Linked DNA regions of Pelodiscus sinensis. The protein of the gene in region 1 interacts with the protein of each later gene in a pairwise test. Links are inferred from orthologs where the notes say so. Each region holds a gene or a part of one and is shown in the gene's direction. Other genes may lie near its edges. The genes, in order: WAC and DYDC1.

What was found.
Region 2: the proteins of WAC (region 1) and DYDC1 interact in binary tests that used the Homo sapiens proteins (3 or more experiments, as listed by UniProt). The two-hybrid records come from large-scale screens. The link is inferred for Pelodiscus sinensis from reciprocal best matches to the Homo sapiens genes WAC and DYDC1.

What each region holds. Positions count from the first base shown.
Region 1 is NC_134712.1:227,347,561-227,356,569, forward strand, and holds the start of WAC (WW domain-containing adapter protein with coiled-coil), read left to right. Parts: upstream 1-5,236; 5' UTR 5,237-5,614; coding exon 5,615-5,655; intron 5,656-5,786; coding exon 5,787-5,823; intron 5,824-7,217; coding exon 7,218-7,413; intron 7,414-9,009.
Region 2 is NC_134718.1:14,157,823-14,166,369, reverse strand, and holds the start of DYDC1 (DPY30 domain-containing protein 1), read left to right. Parts: upstream 1-5,085; 5' UTR 5,086-5,224; intron 5,225-5,239; exon of another isoform or gene 5,240-5,431; intron 5,432-6,493; 5' UTR 6,494-6,595; intron 6,596-6,687; exon of another isoform or gene 6,688-6,815; intron 6,816-8,547. UniProt on the Homo sapiens protein: Functions as part of axonemal radial spoke complexes that play an important part in the motility of sperm and cilia. Plays a crucial role during acrosome biogenesis.

The sequences.
Region 1 (9,009 bases):
CATGCAGGGCCTCCTGGATACTGACAGCCCCCCGATAGACCTCCCGGATGGCAGTCTGCAGGAAGTGCAGCCAGGCACGCAGCAATGCATCCAAGAGAAGCACCAGAGTGCCTAGGGGCAGCTCTGGCTCCATATTGCAGAGTGCTGTGGTGTCCCGAGTGAGGGCAACCAGAGCATGCAGAGACAAAATACTTTGCTGTCCCTCAGTGAGGTAGACAAGCAAGCAGGGAAACCTGAGAACTGGCTGTCCCTTTAAGCACAGACCTCAGGCAGCAGCCCCACACAGTAAGTCCTGTCCTGGTGCCCTGCTAGAACTGGTTCCGGCCAGCCTTAAATGCACTCAGGGTGGACATGCTATTTCGAAATAGCAAAATGCTGTTTCAAAATGCATTTTATGCATAGACACTTTATTTCAAAATGAGCTATTTCAAAATAACACCGTAGTGTAGAGATACCCTAACAGAGCAGACATAAGGCCATACTCTGCCCTCCATCTGTGCTTCGGAACTGTCCACTAATTTCAGCTGAGTTTCAGTTAGCAGCATATGACCATTTAAATTGTATTCCCATTGTGTTGAGATATTGGGATAATAAATGTATTTGCTTGCATTTGGTAGCCAATCATTGGCTTTTAAAAAAAAAAAAATGTTATCAGCACAAGTATTTCAATTTTGTCTGTACTAGCTGATGTTGTACATAAATTGTAAAATTAAACTAAAGTTTTAATTGCTTAAGCATGGTAATAGGAAATACTGCTTATTGCATATGATATAGTTATTTTATTGACAAACTGCCTCTCACTCACTCCTTCCAAATGACATGGGAAATACAAGAGGTATGAAGCTGCCATTTGAGTTCTCTGTAACCAGAGCTTTCATGATACAAGTTCTTTTTCCACCTGAAATTCTTTATGTCTAAGTAAAACAACTACATGCCAAGCTAGGACAGAAGTCCTTGCTGTACTTATCTAGAGACTAAGAAAAATCTAAGGTTGTGATGTCAGTAACAAACATGACATAGTAATCAATACTCAGCAGGATCAGACAGGGTAAGCAGATCAAACATGTGGATGGATAGACAGAAGCTCAGACTCAGTCAAAAATATCTGCAGTAATTTGTGAAGTAAAATAAAAACAAGAATGCAGGATTTTACCTCATTAGAGTTACAGTACCAAACAATAGCAGAATCCCTAATAGTGGCTAGTTTTGTATTTTTCAAGAGACTAGCAGAAATGGTACTTGAACAAATTGTTTATTAGCTCAGCCATCCTATCCCCATGAGACTTTTTTTAAAAGCAGCACTGTACATAGGGGAATCAGGAGGATGCAAAAACTGAATATAGACTAATTAACTAGAGACAATGTGCAGTAACAAACCCTTTACTCTTACATCTGAGGGATTCATTGTTTGTGTTACCCTTACTTATCAGGCAGTGTATAACTGCAGTCTTTTAAATGTATAGAACCTGTATGAAAGATTTTACTGCCAGGCACATCTAAGAACAAACCTAGTGCTACAATATGTTACTGTGCAGGGCAATATAAAAGATTTAATACATACTAGAAATAGAAAACAGGATTAGAATTGAGATTTCTGCCATTTTCTCTTCTTTGCCCTTCTAAACTAGGTTTTTAATCACTTTCAAAAGAAAACTTCAAAACTAGAGAACCATCTTTAATATTATTTTCTTAATGTGCATTTAGAACTCTCCCACCCATATTCTTCAAAATTCTTTGGAGTCTATAATACATGAATAATAGACATTTTACACAAGTGAATCCAAAATAAAGTCTTCAGGTTGTTTTGTCTTTTGCCCTCAGAGAAGATGATCCCAGTAGACAGACAGCTTCTACAAAGTTAAGTAAAAAATTGTCACTGCAACAAGTTGTATGAAGATTCTACAGTGATAAGAACTATCACAATAAGTTAGGCCATGTATGGTCAAGATTTCTAAAGACTCAGAATTTCCCATTAGAATACCACTTGGTATAAAAGTGATGGAAGCTGTTTTCTCCCAGTATGCAAGTTTACAGTTGCCACACACTTTATAAGGAAATGGCCAACTGAAATTTTAGAAATTCAGTTTTGAGAGTTCTTTTTAACTAGTATTAAAAGGGGAAAAATACTTACTTTTAACATATATTGATGTAAATGACTAAGTGTTCATGTTCCATTTATTTTAGAAGGAGTGTAGGTGGGCCTTAAAGCAACACAAAAATGCATAGAGCCTCTGGATACCATCTTTATAAAATTAAATATTGAGTTTGAATTATGGGCAAATTTCAGATAGACAGCAGACCCTAAAAAAGAAGAATTTGTTAACAGATTTCTGTTTGGCTAGCAACCACTAAAAACAATTAATCATCATGATCTTGACTCAGCCAAAAGGAGCCCAAAGTATTTTGTCCATATTCAGCATTTACCTCATTTTATAGCATCCCTTTCTTCTTCCCAGGGCTCAGTGACAATGTTCCCCAGGTAAGAGAGAACTGGACTGAATTTCTTTCAGAAGTCACAAACAAGTCTTCTTGCCATTGCTAGAGGTGTGACTGAAGAGAGACAAAAGTGCTTTTTCTTTTCAGATTTAAGGAATAGTAATAAATCTCAATGAAACTCAGCAGTGAACATTCAGGGCTTGAATAGTACATCAAAAAATTATTTCCTTGACTAACAACTGTAAGGGCAAGTAAACATCATGCCAAACCTAGTGCAAAATCTGACCTCTATTTTCCTAAAATCTATTTACAGAGTGTATAATTTTTCATAGGTGTTGTAAAGATAGTTATAGGAATTTTTTTAGCAAAACTGCACCTTTATTTATCTTTATTGTACATTATTTTCCATGATGTTAAAATGTGCTAAAACATATAAAAAAATAAGGTAGAGTCCTTTCTCAGATAAATGCTCATCATAGTGTTCTGTGGCTAACCTTATTTCTGAGCAAGAGGCATTGTGATTGTGGTGAGTCCAAGCGTTTGGGTATTTCAGGACACATTGCTTTTCAGTTCTGCAGCTTTGTTTAAATTCCCCACTTCCTTCTTCAGGACATTTAGCAGCATTCTAGAACTATCCAAAATCTTCATATAAGCAGCTTCAGTTTCTGCAAGGATTTTATCAAGCTCGTTCCGTGAGGCTGTCTTTTGGGTCAAAGTTTCACAGACACACTCCAGTTGCTCATTCAGGATTTGGATTTCATGCTGGAGTTTATTTTTTTCCACTTCCGCTTCCTTGATCTGTTTGTTCAGTTCTTCTCTTTGCAGGCATAAGTCTTCCATGAATTTCACCAGCTCATTATTGTAACCCTGCAGAACCGCTCCCTGCTGAGTCATCCTCCAGGCTCCACCCTCTAAGTGGACTCTGCCACTGCTTTGAGTTTTCTCTCAGCAACACCCTTCAGCACTTTTATTTAAAAAAGAAAAACAAAATAAAAACGCTTGTAGCTGGGCTTTTGTGAGCAACCCTATGCTAACAAACCAGTACAAACATAGCCATGATAGAACACTCTGCTTAAAAGAAAAAACACATCATCTCCTCAGACTTAAGTTTTACAGCCCCAAAGATACAATTTCTGTGGTGTTCCCAGGCTTTTCCAATCTAGAGAATAAATGACTAGGGCCAGAATTCAAGGTCCCAGAATTTCCATTTATTTGCTGAGTGCTTAAATGAGTGTCTTTTAATAATTATTGGATGTTTACATTAAATGAAGTCCAACCCTTCATTACAACAAAACTATCACAAACCAGTTTTCATTGTAGCTGCCTATTTATCAGACATGCATGACTTTCTTGGAAAAAAACCTAACTCCTTTTGGGCTCAAAATTTCAGTGTTTGATCACTGATATAAAACTACTCTACAAATATGGTCTTTTCTATTGAGAATAGAAATGTAGGGATTGTTACTAGAAATACTCAAAGTCAAGGATAAAGAAAGGTATTTTCTCCATATGATACTTAAGCATAAGTACCATCTCCACTCTCAGTACCTCCCAGGTCTGCCTATAGTGAATCAATTCAGTACTCTATTTTCAAATGCATATATGAGCAGGGCTTAGAAGGAGATTTAGCATTTCGATTAGAGAAGCATGTTTTGTGAACTTGCCCGCCTCTGGAGAGCTGCTTTTCTTCGCTCTCCTCAGGACACAGGGAGCAGTTTGGATAAGAGCACTCTGCAGTGAAGGATGCACATTGTCTACACGGAAGAGCTTGGTAGGGCCACCGAGACTGGAGCTGGTGCGAGTGCCAGGGATACCCCAACATTCACTGCTCTCTACCCTCTTGCTACTAAGTGTAGGCCAAAAAGCAAAACAAAAAACCCACCACCAAACACAACTGGAGACGCTAGAGAGAAAAAAAAACCTGCCGGAGACGCTAGAAACAGCTCTGAGAGCTACAAAAAGCCTGAGAGGAAACCCCACAGGAGCGGCTCTTCTTATTGCTACCCAACTCCCACAGCAACTATGGCGGTGATAACTAAGGCACATGCCTAACACAGATAGGAACAAAGCTCCGGCTTTCGAGTCTTAGGACTTACACATCCACTGGGGCTGCTACGAGACAAACAAGCACCGCAAAGGGCAGCGCATGGGACACACTCACAACCCAAGCAGCCAGCTGCGAGCCTCCCACAGGGTCGTTTTAACCTCTTCTCTGCCGCGCTTTCTCTCCGAACACAGGACGTATATAAGCTGCTTCCTAGGCTTGAGGCGGACCCTTTCCAGCCTCCCTTTTCTCAATCCGGCTTGGAGAAGCCCCTCTCTCTTGCTATTGCCCCTGCTGTGTCCGACCTGGCCAAAGAGCCTCCGCCGGCAGCCGGCAGAGCTACTAACTGGTAAGCAGCGCTCTCACCCCAGGCTGTCGGTAGCAGCGCGGAGCACGCCTCTCAAGAGCTTGCCATGCCCCGCAAGAGGAGAGGGGCTCTTAACCAATGAGCCAGCCCGGCGCTCCGACCAGCTGCTTTCCCCGAGCGCTCCAACCGGCAGTGGTCGCAGAGCTGGGGGGAGGGGGGGTGAAGGGTCACGGAAAACCCCGAAACTTTCCGAATACAGAGGAACGTTCTACGGCGATAGCCGATGTTTTCCCGGGGCTGGTTGCGGACTAGCGGAGGGCTGGTGGCGGAAAGAGCCGATGTTGCCCGAAGGGGGAAGATTAAGGGCGTTGGACTTGGCGAAAAGAGCCGATGTTTCCCGAAGGCACGGCCGCCCTAGAGCAGAGGGGACTGAGTGGGAGGAGTGTGCCGAAAACAGCCGAAAACACCCGACGTGAACCGAACACGGCGTCGCCCGAGTTTCCCGGATGTAGTTGGAGGAGCGGCGGCGGCTGTGGGCGCAGCGGGGGGAGGAGGCAGCGGCAGCGGAGTCTGAGCTCCTCAGTGTCTCAGAGTGTGCGGGGCCGAGCTGTGGCGTGTCCCCTTCCGCTGTGCGGAGCGGAGATGGGCCCGTGAGCGCTGCTCCCAGCTGAGCTGCCTGAGCCGCCCCCTCCCTCCCTCCCCTTCCCTGTCCCGGTCGGTGGTGAGGCGGAGCGCTGCCTCCCCCTCCTCCCCCCTCGGCGCCTGTGGCCCGGCCGCGGCCGTCCCCTCCTGGTCCCCTCACATTCACACACACAGGCCGGGCATTGATGGTAATGTATGCGAGGAAACAGCAGAGACTCAGTGATGGGTAAATCCCCCTCCTTCCTCCCCGCCACCCGCGGGGGGCTCCCCCAGACCCTCCGCCATGTTTGTGGTACCCCTCCCCCTCGGCGGCCGGTAACGGTTGTTCGCTAACGTCTCTTTCTCTCTCTCTTCCAGCTGTCACGACCGCAGGGGGGACTCCCAGCCCTACCAGGTACTTGCAGCGCCGGCCGCTAGGCCTAGGAGGAGGAGCGGGGGAGAGAGCGGAGGGGGGAGCTACTCCAGCGCAGGCTTCGTCCGCCGACACAGGCCGCGGTGCAGCCACTTCCCTGTCTCCTCCCCTCACAAGCCCCTTAGTCCTGGGGAGGAGGGCGCTTACATGTGAGGGGCGCGAGGTCCCAGTTACCTCTGCGCCGCCCGGGACAGAGGCAGAGAAGTGAGGCGAGGCCTAGCGCGGTCTTGTGTAGAGTTCGGCCTTCAGTGCCGGGAGGGGGGGGGGCGGGAGAATGAGTCAGTATCCAATTAGTGAAAAATAGATAGTAAAATTTGTTCTCTAAAGGCCCCTTTGGAAAGCACCTCCTGCTCCCCAAATCCCTGCTTGGGACTGTGACCTGAGCAGGGCACCCTATAGGCACCAGATTACTGGGGCTACAGGCTGCACTCAGAAATCTGCATCAAAATCCTTGTGCCAACTAAGAAAGTACTTTGAGAGGCATAATGTACTCCCTCTCCTTGTGCACATGGAAACCCAGTTCTTGGGGAGCAGTGGGTATTGCACTGTGTATTTTGAGGACACTTATCACCATGAGTAGTATAGTGGAGTATTGTGCTCTCTTGAGTGTACACATTTGAGGGGCTGTTATGAAATTTCTAGGCATGTGGCAGGCTGCTTGTGAAACAGTGTGACAACTGAAAGTTGTCAGTGACAGTTCACCTAAATGTAAACATTCCCCCATCCTGAAGTTTGCATTATGAAAGCAAATGGGTGAAAGATGTTGATCATGCTGCTTCCAATGTGTACATTTTCCAGAATGAACACAAAGTAAGCTTCCCGCTACACCCCGCACACCTGCTTATTCAGTCTCATTTTAAATACTATCTTAGTTCTTGTGCTCAAATAAAGTTTGTTATGGAAATTCAAGGTGGTGGGTGAGCTTAGGTGTCTTGATGAAATTTGTAGTGTGTACACTGTGGTTCAAGCAGAATTTGTAATCTGTTTTTATTCAGTTACTTATTAAACACCTGAATATTTTGTCCTCCCCAAAATGAAGAAAGCAGTCTGTGTAGTGCTGAATGTATGTAACACAAGATGAATAAGAATTCAAGGAATTGCAGTTTAATTCTAATACCCTATTATAGGAGATATTCCACACTGAAACCACAGTAGGAAAATTAGGTAAAAAAGCTAAATTAGAATTTTTTACTTTATATATATAATTAACATAGGAAAGCCTTATTCTACTTGTGTTCCTAAAGTGCTAATATGTGGCTTAAATATTCACTGAAGTGAAAATTTTTACTTATCTTGAAAAATTAGATTTTCTGTTAGTTGGAAGTGATGTTAACTGCTACAAAAATTAAATTAATTTAAAATGTATTTTCTTGCAGACTCTTAAATACTCATCAAAGAGTCACCCCAGTGGTGGTGATCACCGTCATGACAAGATGCGAGACACCGCAGATCCTTCACCACCAAATAAAATGTTGCGACGGTCTGATAGCCCTGAAAACAAATATAGTGACAGCACAGGGCACAGTAAAGCAAAAAGTGTGCATACTCACAGAGTTAGAGAGAGGGATGGAGGTGAGTTGTTTCTAATCATTTTTATTTAAGCAGTAATCTGATTTAAATTTTATTGAAATAATAAGTAAAACAGTTACAAGTGACATGTCTTACACAATGGTGAGAAGACTGTGCACTGGTACTCAGTTCCACCAGAGGTCATTGCCTTGAGTCTTTTATATTAAACTGATTCTTTTTTTCTTCCAAAAAATAGTAGATGTCAACAAAGACACCAAGAGATTAAAGCAATTAATTTTTTTTGGTATTGGTGCATTTTTAAGGTGACTTCTAAAGGTGCTGGAAAGAGTAGTTTATGAGAACATCTTAATTGGATTACATTTTAGATGTTTCCATAAGCAAAATACATTTTTATTCTTCCATTGGTTTTGAAGCATCAGAGTTCCAGCTGCTGATAGTGTGTCATCTGTTCAATTATTTAATTATTCATAATGTGTTCGTGCATAAGGAAATGTCCACAGATTAACTTGGATTAATATTTTTGATGTGCTGTTCATCTAAATGTTACATTTCCAAATATGATATATGCCTGATAAGCTTCTGTTCTGCAGTGCCATTTAATTTCTAGTTCTAGTTACTTGCTCTCGAAGGCCCTGATCCTTCAAACACTTAACACTTTTATTTTCCTTAACTTTTTACTGCTCTGAGGAGTTCAACTGATTTCCATGAAACTTACCATAGGAAAAGTAAGCACATGTGTAAATGTTTGAAGGGTCATTACAGAAGCATTTGGAAGGGAAGGAGTGGGAAGCTGAGTATTGAATACATTTTCTCTGTAAAATAGGAGAAGTAAATTGAAGTTTTCAAGTCCACCTGAACTGAATGGTTGGTGATGCAGGGTTTTATTGCATACAGTGGTGTTGGGGGATAATGTAGTGGATAATGTAGTGTAGATATTGGAATATCTAGAGGCAACAGAAGGTTACTTCTCCATTTCCTCCTCTTTCCCCTTTCCTTCATAGAGTGAAAAATTCAGTGTATTTTGATAATGGTGACATGTTCAGAGTGGTTTTAGTAGGTGTAACAAGTAGTCTTAAATGTTTGCATAAGTGAATGCAAGCCCTTTTAAATAAAGTTTAAATGACAAAAAGTGAAATAGATTGAAGTGATTGTTACACTCTAAGTATTCTTTACATAGTTAGAAATCATGTCTTCCTTACATTTCATAAACATAATATAATTGTTTCACTCAATGTTAAATTGTCAGTAACAGAAATTGTATAGAACAAATGGGCAGAGCCTACTTACGCTCTGGAATAGTTACACAAAAGTTTAAACTGCATGCATTTTAATTAATGATACCATTAAGAAGAATGGCATACTCATACTATTTTTATGAATTGGAATGAGCTGTTTGGACACAACTGGAACTTCTTGACTAGGTGTTGATATATCTATGTCCATAATGCCCAGTACATATAAAGGGCTACCTGATTTTAAACACAGGTTAGTGTGTTCTATAGTTGCACTAAACTATACTGTTGATTGTTCCAGTATGTGACTAACTGTATCCATGCTGAAGTAGTTACCTCAGTACTCCCCCTGTATCTCCAATTTCAGGGTTACAGAAAACTTACATAACATAATTTGTTGAAATGC
Region 2 (8,547 bases), on another chromosome or scaffold:
TAACATGCTGTTCACCTTGCACTTTATCTGTGGCATCCAGAAATGGCTGGAGTAGTGTGGGGAAAATCAAATAACTCCATTTGTGTCTAAGGGGGGACACTGGAGGAAATCATAACTTTCTAAGGGTTAAAAGTTTTCCAGACCTCTCTCCCTGTATAGGAGTGGAATCATCTAAACTCTAATCAAGACCCTTACAAATGCCTATCTCAAATTCATGGATACTCCTACCTAGTCTGTCACAAATTATCATGTAAACTCTTATCTTTGTCACAGTTTGCCTTGTAAGACTACTCACTCCACATTCTCATGTGCCTTTGTTGTGTAAAACTTACTTCTAGCACTCCTGGTGTGAACAGAAGTCTCAGAGTACTTCTGCAGAGACTTTGATATGTTAAGGAAAACAATCAACAACTGAACTGTCTAAGCATTCTGTATAAAGGATCAAAAAACCTGTAACTCAGGGCTGACTGCTACTGCTCTGCTGCCAGCCTGCATGCATGCATAATAAAGTTTTCCCTTCTAGATTTCTCTCCTGCCTCACTGATTTGACTTCCAGCCTCGGACCCTTCTGGGGGCTCTGTACCCCAGGGGAACGAGATTTCCCCCTCAGTAGCAACGCTAGTTCTCTTAGGGTATGTCTACACTACCACCCTAGTTCGAACTAGGGTTGTAATGTAGGCAACCCGAGTTGCAAATGAAGCCCGGGATTTGAATTTCCCGGGCTTCATTTGCATATTGCCAGGCGCCGCCCTTTTTAAATGTCCGCTAGTGCGGACTCCGTGCCCTGCAGCTACACGCGGCACAGACTAGGTAGTTCGGATTAGGCTTGCTCGTTCCACGAGGAGTAATGGTAGTTCGGAATAGGAAGCCTAATCCGAACTACCTAGTCCGTGCCGCGTGTAGCTGCGGGGCACGGCGTCCGCACTAGCGGACATTTAAAAATGGCGGCGCCCGGCAATATGCAAATGAAGCCCGGGAAATTCAAATCCCGGGCTTCATTTGCAACTCTGGTTGCCTACATTACAACCCTAGTTCGAACTAGGGTGGTAGTGTAGACATACCCTTAGCTGGGAATAATCCCTCTGGCTGGGTTTTAAATTATACTGGTTTTGTTCTTCAAGCATGTGTTTCTGCTTTTCTTCATCCAGGGACTAAAAAACATTTATTTGTCTGAGGCTACATCTACACTGGCATGATCTTGCGCAAGAACCCTTTTGCGGAAGAGTTCTTGTGCAAAAACTCTTCTAGAAGAGAGCGTCTACACTGGCATGTGCCTTTGCGCAAGAGATGTGCTTTTGCGCAAGAGCGTCCATGCCAGTGTAGACGCTCTCTTGCACAAGAAAGCTCTGATGGCCATTTTAAACATAGGGCTTTCTTGCACAAGAAATTCATATTGCCTGTCTACACTGGCCTCTTGCACAAGAACAGTTGTGCAAGAGGGCTTATTCCTGAGCGGGAGCATCAGAGTTCTTGTGCAAGAAGCACTGATTTCATACATTAGAACGTCAGTGTACTTGCGCAAGAACTCGCAGCCAGTGTAGATAGGCAGCAAGTTTTTGCACAAAAGCGGCCGCTTTTGCACGAAATCACGCCAATGTAGACACAGCATAAGAGTACTGTTCTACCTGGTAGCATTGGTTTGGGGAATACAAGCTTGAAGACCAAACCTTCTTTCAAAGGTTTCCTTGAACAGAGTACTTGTGTGAAGAAGGCTGCAGATTTTTGACACTTTTGCCTGGGCACCATATAACTTCGCCTCCTTGAGACCATGGTCAGTGAGTTGCAGAGTATAAGCAAAGCAACTGTGTCTCTTAATTCGAGGTCCACTTGAGTTTACATGATGGATGACCGATGTAACGACTTCTGGGTTTAAGTCTTCACATAATTCTTCATTTTCCAAAGTGTCATCTTGCATATCAATTTGCTGCTCTGATTCATGGTTGTTAAATGCTATGATGAATGCTTTACGCATGTCCGCAGCATTGTCTGTTATAACATATCTAATTTTATCCTTTATTTTATAAGAATCACATATGTTCTCAAACACTTCTGCAATGTTCTCACCAGTATGCTGGCCAAGGAACCTTTCACATGACAACAATTTGTCACGAGCGCGTACCTTATTATCATGTGGGCTGTTACTCCCCAAAAGCCTCTCATTCTTCTATCTGACCAGATGTCGAGCGTCAGTGCAATTGTGTCCACCTCAGTAAGAAGTGCCAACACATCAGCTTTCACATTATGGTACAAATTGTCCAGTTATGTCATAACCAAAGACCGACTTATTTCTTGTGACTGGGGATCCAACACATGACAAAATCGCCTGAACTGTGGTTTTTCTGCTATTGAAAGTGGTAGTAAGCAACCAATTATCAGTTCTATAACCAAAGAACTGACTATTCTTCTTTGTTTAGGATGATTTATTCCATAAACACCTTGATTATCATGCTTTATAAATGAAATCCGATATTTTACACGGTGAGGCGGGATCAATTGTGGTTTGTCGCAGATATTTTTCGTACTCACTGTGCTTTCGCGGATGGGTTTTTATAAGGCGCAAAAAATTGGAAGTTGTTGCAATGCCATCAGTGATTACAACCCCACATAATTTGCACTTCGCTGATCGTGTTTTCTCTGGATTTATTGATTTGACCGAAAAAAACAAAGTTTAGGACATTTTGATTTTTCTTCCTCATTCTTCACAGACGGATATTAACTTTTTGATTATTTTAATTTTGTTTGTTCACTATGAAATTTCAAAAATGGCATATTAATGTAAAATTTCATAAACAAACACACAATCAATAAAATTTTCACAAATCCCAAGCCAATAAACTATTTTCGCATTGTTGTTGTCGTAGCTCTACGTTAAAGCCAGAAATTGCGCCTAGATGCGTTCAAAACAATGAAAAAAAATGAAACACATTCACCATGTATTGCATCGTTTTGAAAGAAAAGTAACCCACAACAATGTAGCATACTGTTGACAAGTAAATGGGATATTTTTATCAATTCATTTTTTACAACTCTGAAATCTCGCATCTTCATGAATATAATAATTGTTTACGTCATTGAAATACTTATGGTTGCCAGGTGTCCGGTATTTTCTGATTTTTCCGGCTGCGCACCGGACAGAAGCCTGCGTGGGCGGGAGGAGCAGCTGGAAGGCGGGGCCATGATCGGCGCTAGGAGCCTGTGACTGCGCAGAAGCCTGGTGGGGGTGGGAAGAGTGGCTGGGACTCTTAGCTACTTCCCCCACCCCCACCAGGCTTCTGATGCGCCAAGAGCAGCGATCGCGGCCCCGCCTCCCAGCCTGGGAATCCCAGCTGGGAGGTGAGGATGCGTTGGACGCTCTGGGCGCATCAGAACAGCGGCATTTTCGGACATTTTTTTCACCAAGTCGCTTCAACAAAATTAGCAAGTTAAGTCACAAACCATGAACCTTAGTCGAGTCTCAAGTCAAGTCATCTAGGTGACTTAAGTCGGACTCGAGTTCAAGTCGTGAGACTCGAGTCGACAACTCTGGAACACTTCAATCTTCCTGGACACACAATTGCAGATCTAAAAGTAGCCATCCTGCAGCAAAAAAACTTCAGGACCAGACTTCAAAGAGAAACTGCTGAGCTACAAGTCGACACTTGCCAACAAGGACTTAACAAGAATTTGAACTATCTCACCCATTACCAAGACAGTTTCCCCAATTATCACCTGTAATACCATTAACTCACAAACATCCCACTCTCCCTACCTTTAATATCATCAATTCACAGACACTTACCTTCCTTCCTCCCCCTCCCCCCCCCTCCGCATCCCCCTTCTGTTCTGCAATGTGATTTGTCCTTTTCATATTTGTTCATTTTTTTAATTGCATCCTTTGGTATATATGGTTGTGACTACTTTCTTCCACTATTTGATCTGAGGAAGTGGGTCTGGCCCACGAAAGCTCATCATCTAATAAACCATCTTGTTAGTCTTTAAAGTGCTACATTGTCCTGCATTTTGCTTCAACTACCCCAGACTAACAGGGCTACATTTCTATCAGTATTCTGCTGAGCTACAGTTCATCTTTAAGTTTGACACAATCAGCTCTGGATTAAACAAAGACTGTGAATGGCTCGCTAACTACAAAAGCAGCTTCTGCTCTCTTGGAATTCACACCTCCAGATCAGCTGCTAGAAGTGGGCCTCATCCTCCTTGATTGGATCCACCTCGTCATCTCCAGCCTGATCCTGGCCTGCATATTTATTCCTGCCTCTGGAAATTTCCACTTCATGCATCTGACGAAGTGGGTCTTTGCCCACGCTTATGCTCCTACACTTCAGTTAGTCTATAAGGTGCCACAGGACTCCTCGTCGCTTTTGCAGATTCAGACTAACACGGCTACCCCTCTGATACTTGACAACTCTGGTGTCTACCTCAACTGCGTAGCTTATTTCCAAATAGCTTATTTCAAAATAGGGAGCATCTACACAGCACTTATTTAAAAAATAGAGCACTCTTCCTCCGAGTTCCCTTATTCCTCCTCCAACGAGGGTCAGCGTAGTCCTCCAGCTTGACAGTATTTTGACACTATTTTGAAATACCTGCCTGCTACGTAGACACGGACTCAGTTATTAGGAAATAGTGTTGCCGTGTAGACGTACCCTCAGTCTGGCATTCTGGCGCTCCAACAAGGAATGCAAGATTCTGTTTAACCTGTTAACCCGTTACCTGCGTGTGCCAGTTAACCAGTTACCGGCGTGCGCGGGGCGCTGGTTAACCAGTTACCTGCACCCAGTAAGGGTGGTGCTTACCAGGTAACTGGTTACCCGTTTACATCCCTGCCCCAGCTGTCCAGTTGCTGGGTTCTTGGGCCCGCGCCATCAACAGATCGAGGCATTCGCCCTCCACGCGGGGGGCGCTGGCCCGACGCTCACGTTACGCGGGTGGAAGCGGCAGCGGTTTGTCTCGTGTGACGATCGCTCGCCCCCTGGCGCACGGGTCAGGCCTATGTCCCCGGGCTGGCAGGGCGGGGCTGCGCTTCGAGACCCCAGGCGCGAGCTGCCCTCAGGCAGCCCGGGGGGTTAACGCTGCCACCTTACTCACGTGACAGCCCCCAGCGCCAGCTCCGCCACCAACCCTCCCGCCCGGGCCACGCGGACGGCTGCCTAGCGACGGGACGCTCCCGGGCTCGCGCCTAGAGGAGGGCGTGCTGGTTGAGGCTGCGCGAAGCGTCGGAGCAAAGGTCGGCGCGTCCCCCCCCCGCCCTCCGACGGTTGAGCCCCCCCCCCGTGGGCGCGCGCCGCGGACCGTTGGGCGTCGTGGCGGTTCGCGGGCCTGAGCTGCGCTGCTGCTCGGCCACCCCGTAGGGCTCCCAGGCGGCAGCGGGGAAGCGCCGGGGCTCGGGCCGCGTCTCTCCCGGCTGGGCTTCGCCCCAGGGAGCCTCCGCTCGGTGTGGTGAAGGGCGGCTCTGCCCTCTCGGCGAGGCCCACCGGGAGCCGTGCCGGCCGTAGTCCCTGACCGCGTCTCCCAGCGGCCGCCCCTCACCCCCACGGGGGTCTTCGTGTCCGCAGCAAAGCTTAGGCACCCGGGGCCCAGCTGCCGCAGACGGGGCTGGCCGCGCCCCCACAGGCTGGGAGCCAGCCCCAGTGCGGGGCTGGGGGCTGCTCCAGCCCGGATTTCGCGCCAGGCGTTTAACCGGGCGAGCCCGGAGGTTTAACGTTTAACCGGCTGGCGGGCGGGCTGGGATTTCGCATCCGAGTGTGCATCCCTTTGGCAATCTTAGCCATGTCTGCAGCAGCTGGAGAGGGATGCTCCCTGCGGTGGGGGCAGAGAGGCCTGGGCTCCAGGAGGGGAGGAGGAATAAGCTGGGCCAAATGGTCAGAGCCGTCTCTGGAGCCTGCAACTATTTCCAGTCGTCTGTGGGGGCCTATTCGAAACCCCAGGATGTTCAAGCTGGATAGCACCAGCTCTGTTGGCTGCTTGTCAAGAGTCTGACTTGTCACTTGGGAGTGCTGCTACATACATTGCAAATCAGAATACACACTCAGCCAATGCTCTCTTTAATGTTTTCCATCCATGTGCAGAATAAATTTTATGTGCACAAAGGCATGTGCAGATATGCAGGAACAGCAGAAAAAAACATGCTGCCAGCTATAGGTAGTCTGCCAATCAGATGGGTGGCATTTGAATCTTTGCTGAGCGGCGGGGGTGGGAGGGTGGCGGCATCTGAACACTTAGCTTACAGCAGAGGTGGGGAACCTTTTTGGCTCAGGGGTTGCTGACCCACAGAAAAATCAGTCGGGGTCTGTACACAAGTGAGAAGCAGTATAGTAAGAAGTAGTATAAAAGGTTCTGATCATGCAAATGCTTGCACAGAATACATAAACAAAAAGTACATTCTGAGTCAAGATATTTTTAGTCTCATGTATGGTAGGGGTGAGACATATGCCCATATATATAGCCCTTTATGACATTTATAGATATCTCATTCCTAACTGTTCTTTTGTTGTAGAAATGGTTTAAACAAGAAAATCAAGCATCCCAAAATCAAAAGTGAAAAAACCATGCAAAGAATGTAAATATATTTGAAGAGTTGGCTGAGGAATCCTTTGAGGTGAGTGGAAAGTATAGAACCTTCAGGAGGTAAGTGGGTTCAGATGTGCATTTTGTGGAGGTGCATTGTGACAAAACACTGGTATATTGCCAGTGTGCCAGAAAGTATGGTCTGAATTTAAGAGACCATAGCAAAGGGGTATCTGTAAGAGATCAAAAGGAAGGAAAAGCTTATGATTTTTCTGATCCCACTTGTGTCAGGAACCTAGTTCTTGCTTCATGTGCGTTACTTGCCTTTAGATAAGATCTGTTTTTTTAAAATTGATCACACACAGAAATGATTTAAATTCTATGTAGCTTCTAGATTCCTTTTGAATGAGCATTTAATTCAGTGAAGTTGTGTGTAATTAAAGACAGGAAATAGCTAATTGAGACTGTTCATTAGAACTAATAGAATAGAGCACTATAAGGAACACTGTAGTGATCATGTACTATTGTAACTAGAGATAAGTGAATATTTACTGAAGTTAAACTGTGTTAAGCAACTGTAGCTTGAACATCCCTGGTTCAGCACCTTCAGGACCTGACTGGTGCCGGACCAGGAGATGTCAATTGCAGACCCTCTGCTGCCACAGTCTGTTGGGTTCTTTTATGATGGCAGCAGAGGGGCCAGCATGGAGGGAGTGGGAATGGGGAGTGCTTGGTAGAAGAGTCAGGGAGAGTGTGGTGCCTGTGGCCAGCATCGGATTCCTGCAGCTGCTGGTCTGCGCTCCTGGCCCCTGTGTGCCTGCACCTCTGGCCATGGGGCACCACACCCATCCTGTACCTTTCCCTGAGTGCCCCCCATCTCCACACCTTCCTTTTCATCTCTGAGCTTAAACACTGCAAGTGGGCTATTTGTGGCACTCTGCAAGCTCTGAGAGGAAGGGAGAGGAGTTGCTGAGTGCAGGGCCTCCGGCTGTTCCCCGTGAGTGCTCCGATCCCGGACCACTCATGGATGCTGGATTACAGATGTTGCTGGATGAGGGAAATCCGGTTTATAGAGGCTTAACCTATTCTGCTTCATGGAAATTATATTGTGAAATAAATGGAGCAGAATTATATTCTATGTTTTGGTTATGTATTAAGGGATGTCAGTGGTTAACTGGTGGCAGCTGGAGCAGCCCTCAGGAATCTGCTCCAACTCAGCCGGAGCAGGCTCTGACCGCAGCGAGGAAACCGCTTCCCCCGCCCACCCCATTTAATTGGTTTACCGGCTAAACTTAATATTTAACTAATTAAACAAGATTTTGCATCCCTATTGCATACACAAAATATTTTACAGGCAGTCCCCGACTTACGCGGATCCGACTTATGTCGGATCCGCACTTACGAACGGGGCTTTCTCGCCCCGGAGGTCGAGGTGGCGGATTGCTACCTGTGAGCTCCGGGGCGAGAAAGCCCCGTTCGTAAGCTGCTCCGGTGCCCCTGGTCTGCTGGAGACCGTCTCCAGCAGACCAGGGGCACCGGGCGGGTTCCCGCGCTTCTGAGGCTTTGTCAGAGCAAAGCCTCAGAAGCGCGGGAACCCGCCGCTGCTGCGGCTTCAGTCCCGGTGCCTGTGGTCTGCTGGGGGGGGGGGGGGACTTACATACAGATTCAACTTAAGAACCCCAAGCTTCCCCAAGTCAGCTGCTGCTGAAACTGATCAGCTCTGATTCTAGGAAGCCTGGGGCAGAGCAACTCTGCCTCGGGCTTCCTGTAGTCAGCGCTGGTCAGTTTCAGCAGCGGCTGACTTGGGGACGCCTGGGGCAGAGCAGCTGGGGTGCTGCTGGGTTGCTCCAGTAGCACCGCTCCTCGGTGCTACTGGACCAACCCAGCAGCACTCCAGCTGCTCTGCCCCAGGCGTCCTGATTCAGCCACTGATGAAACTGACCAGCAGCGGCTGAATCAGGACCTGGGGCAGAGCAGCTGGGGTGCTACCGGGTTGGTCCAGTAGTGCCCAGAGCGGCGCTGCAGGACCAATCGGCAGCGCCC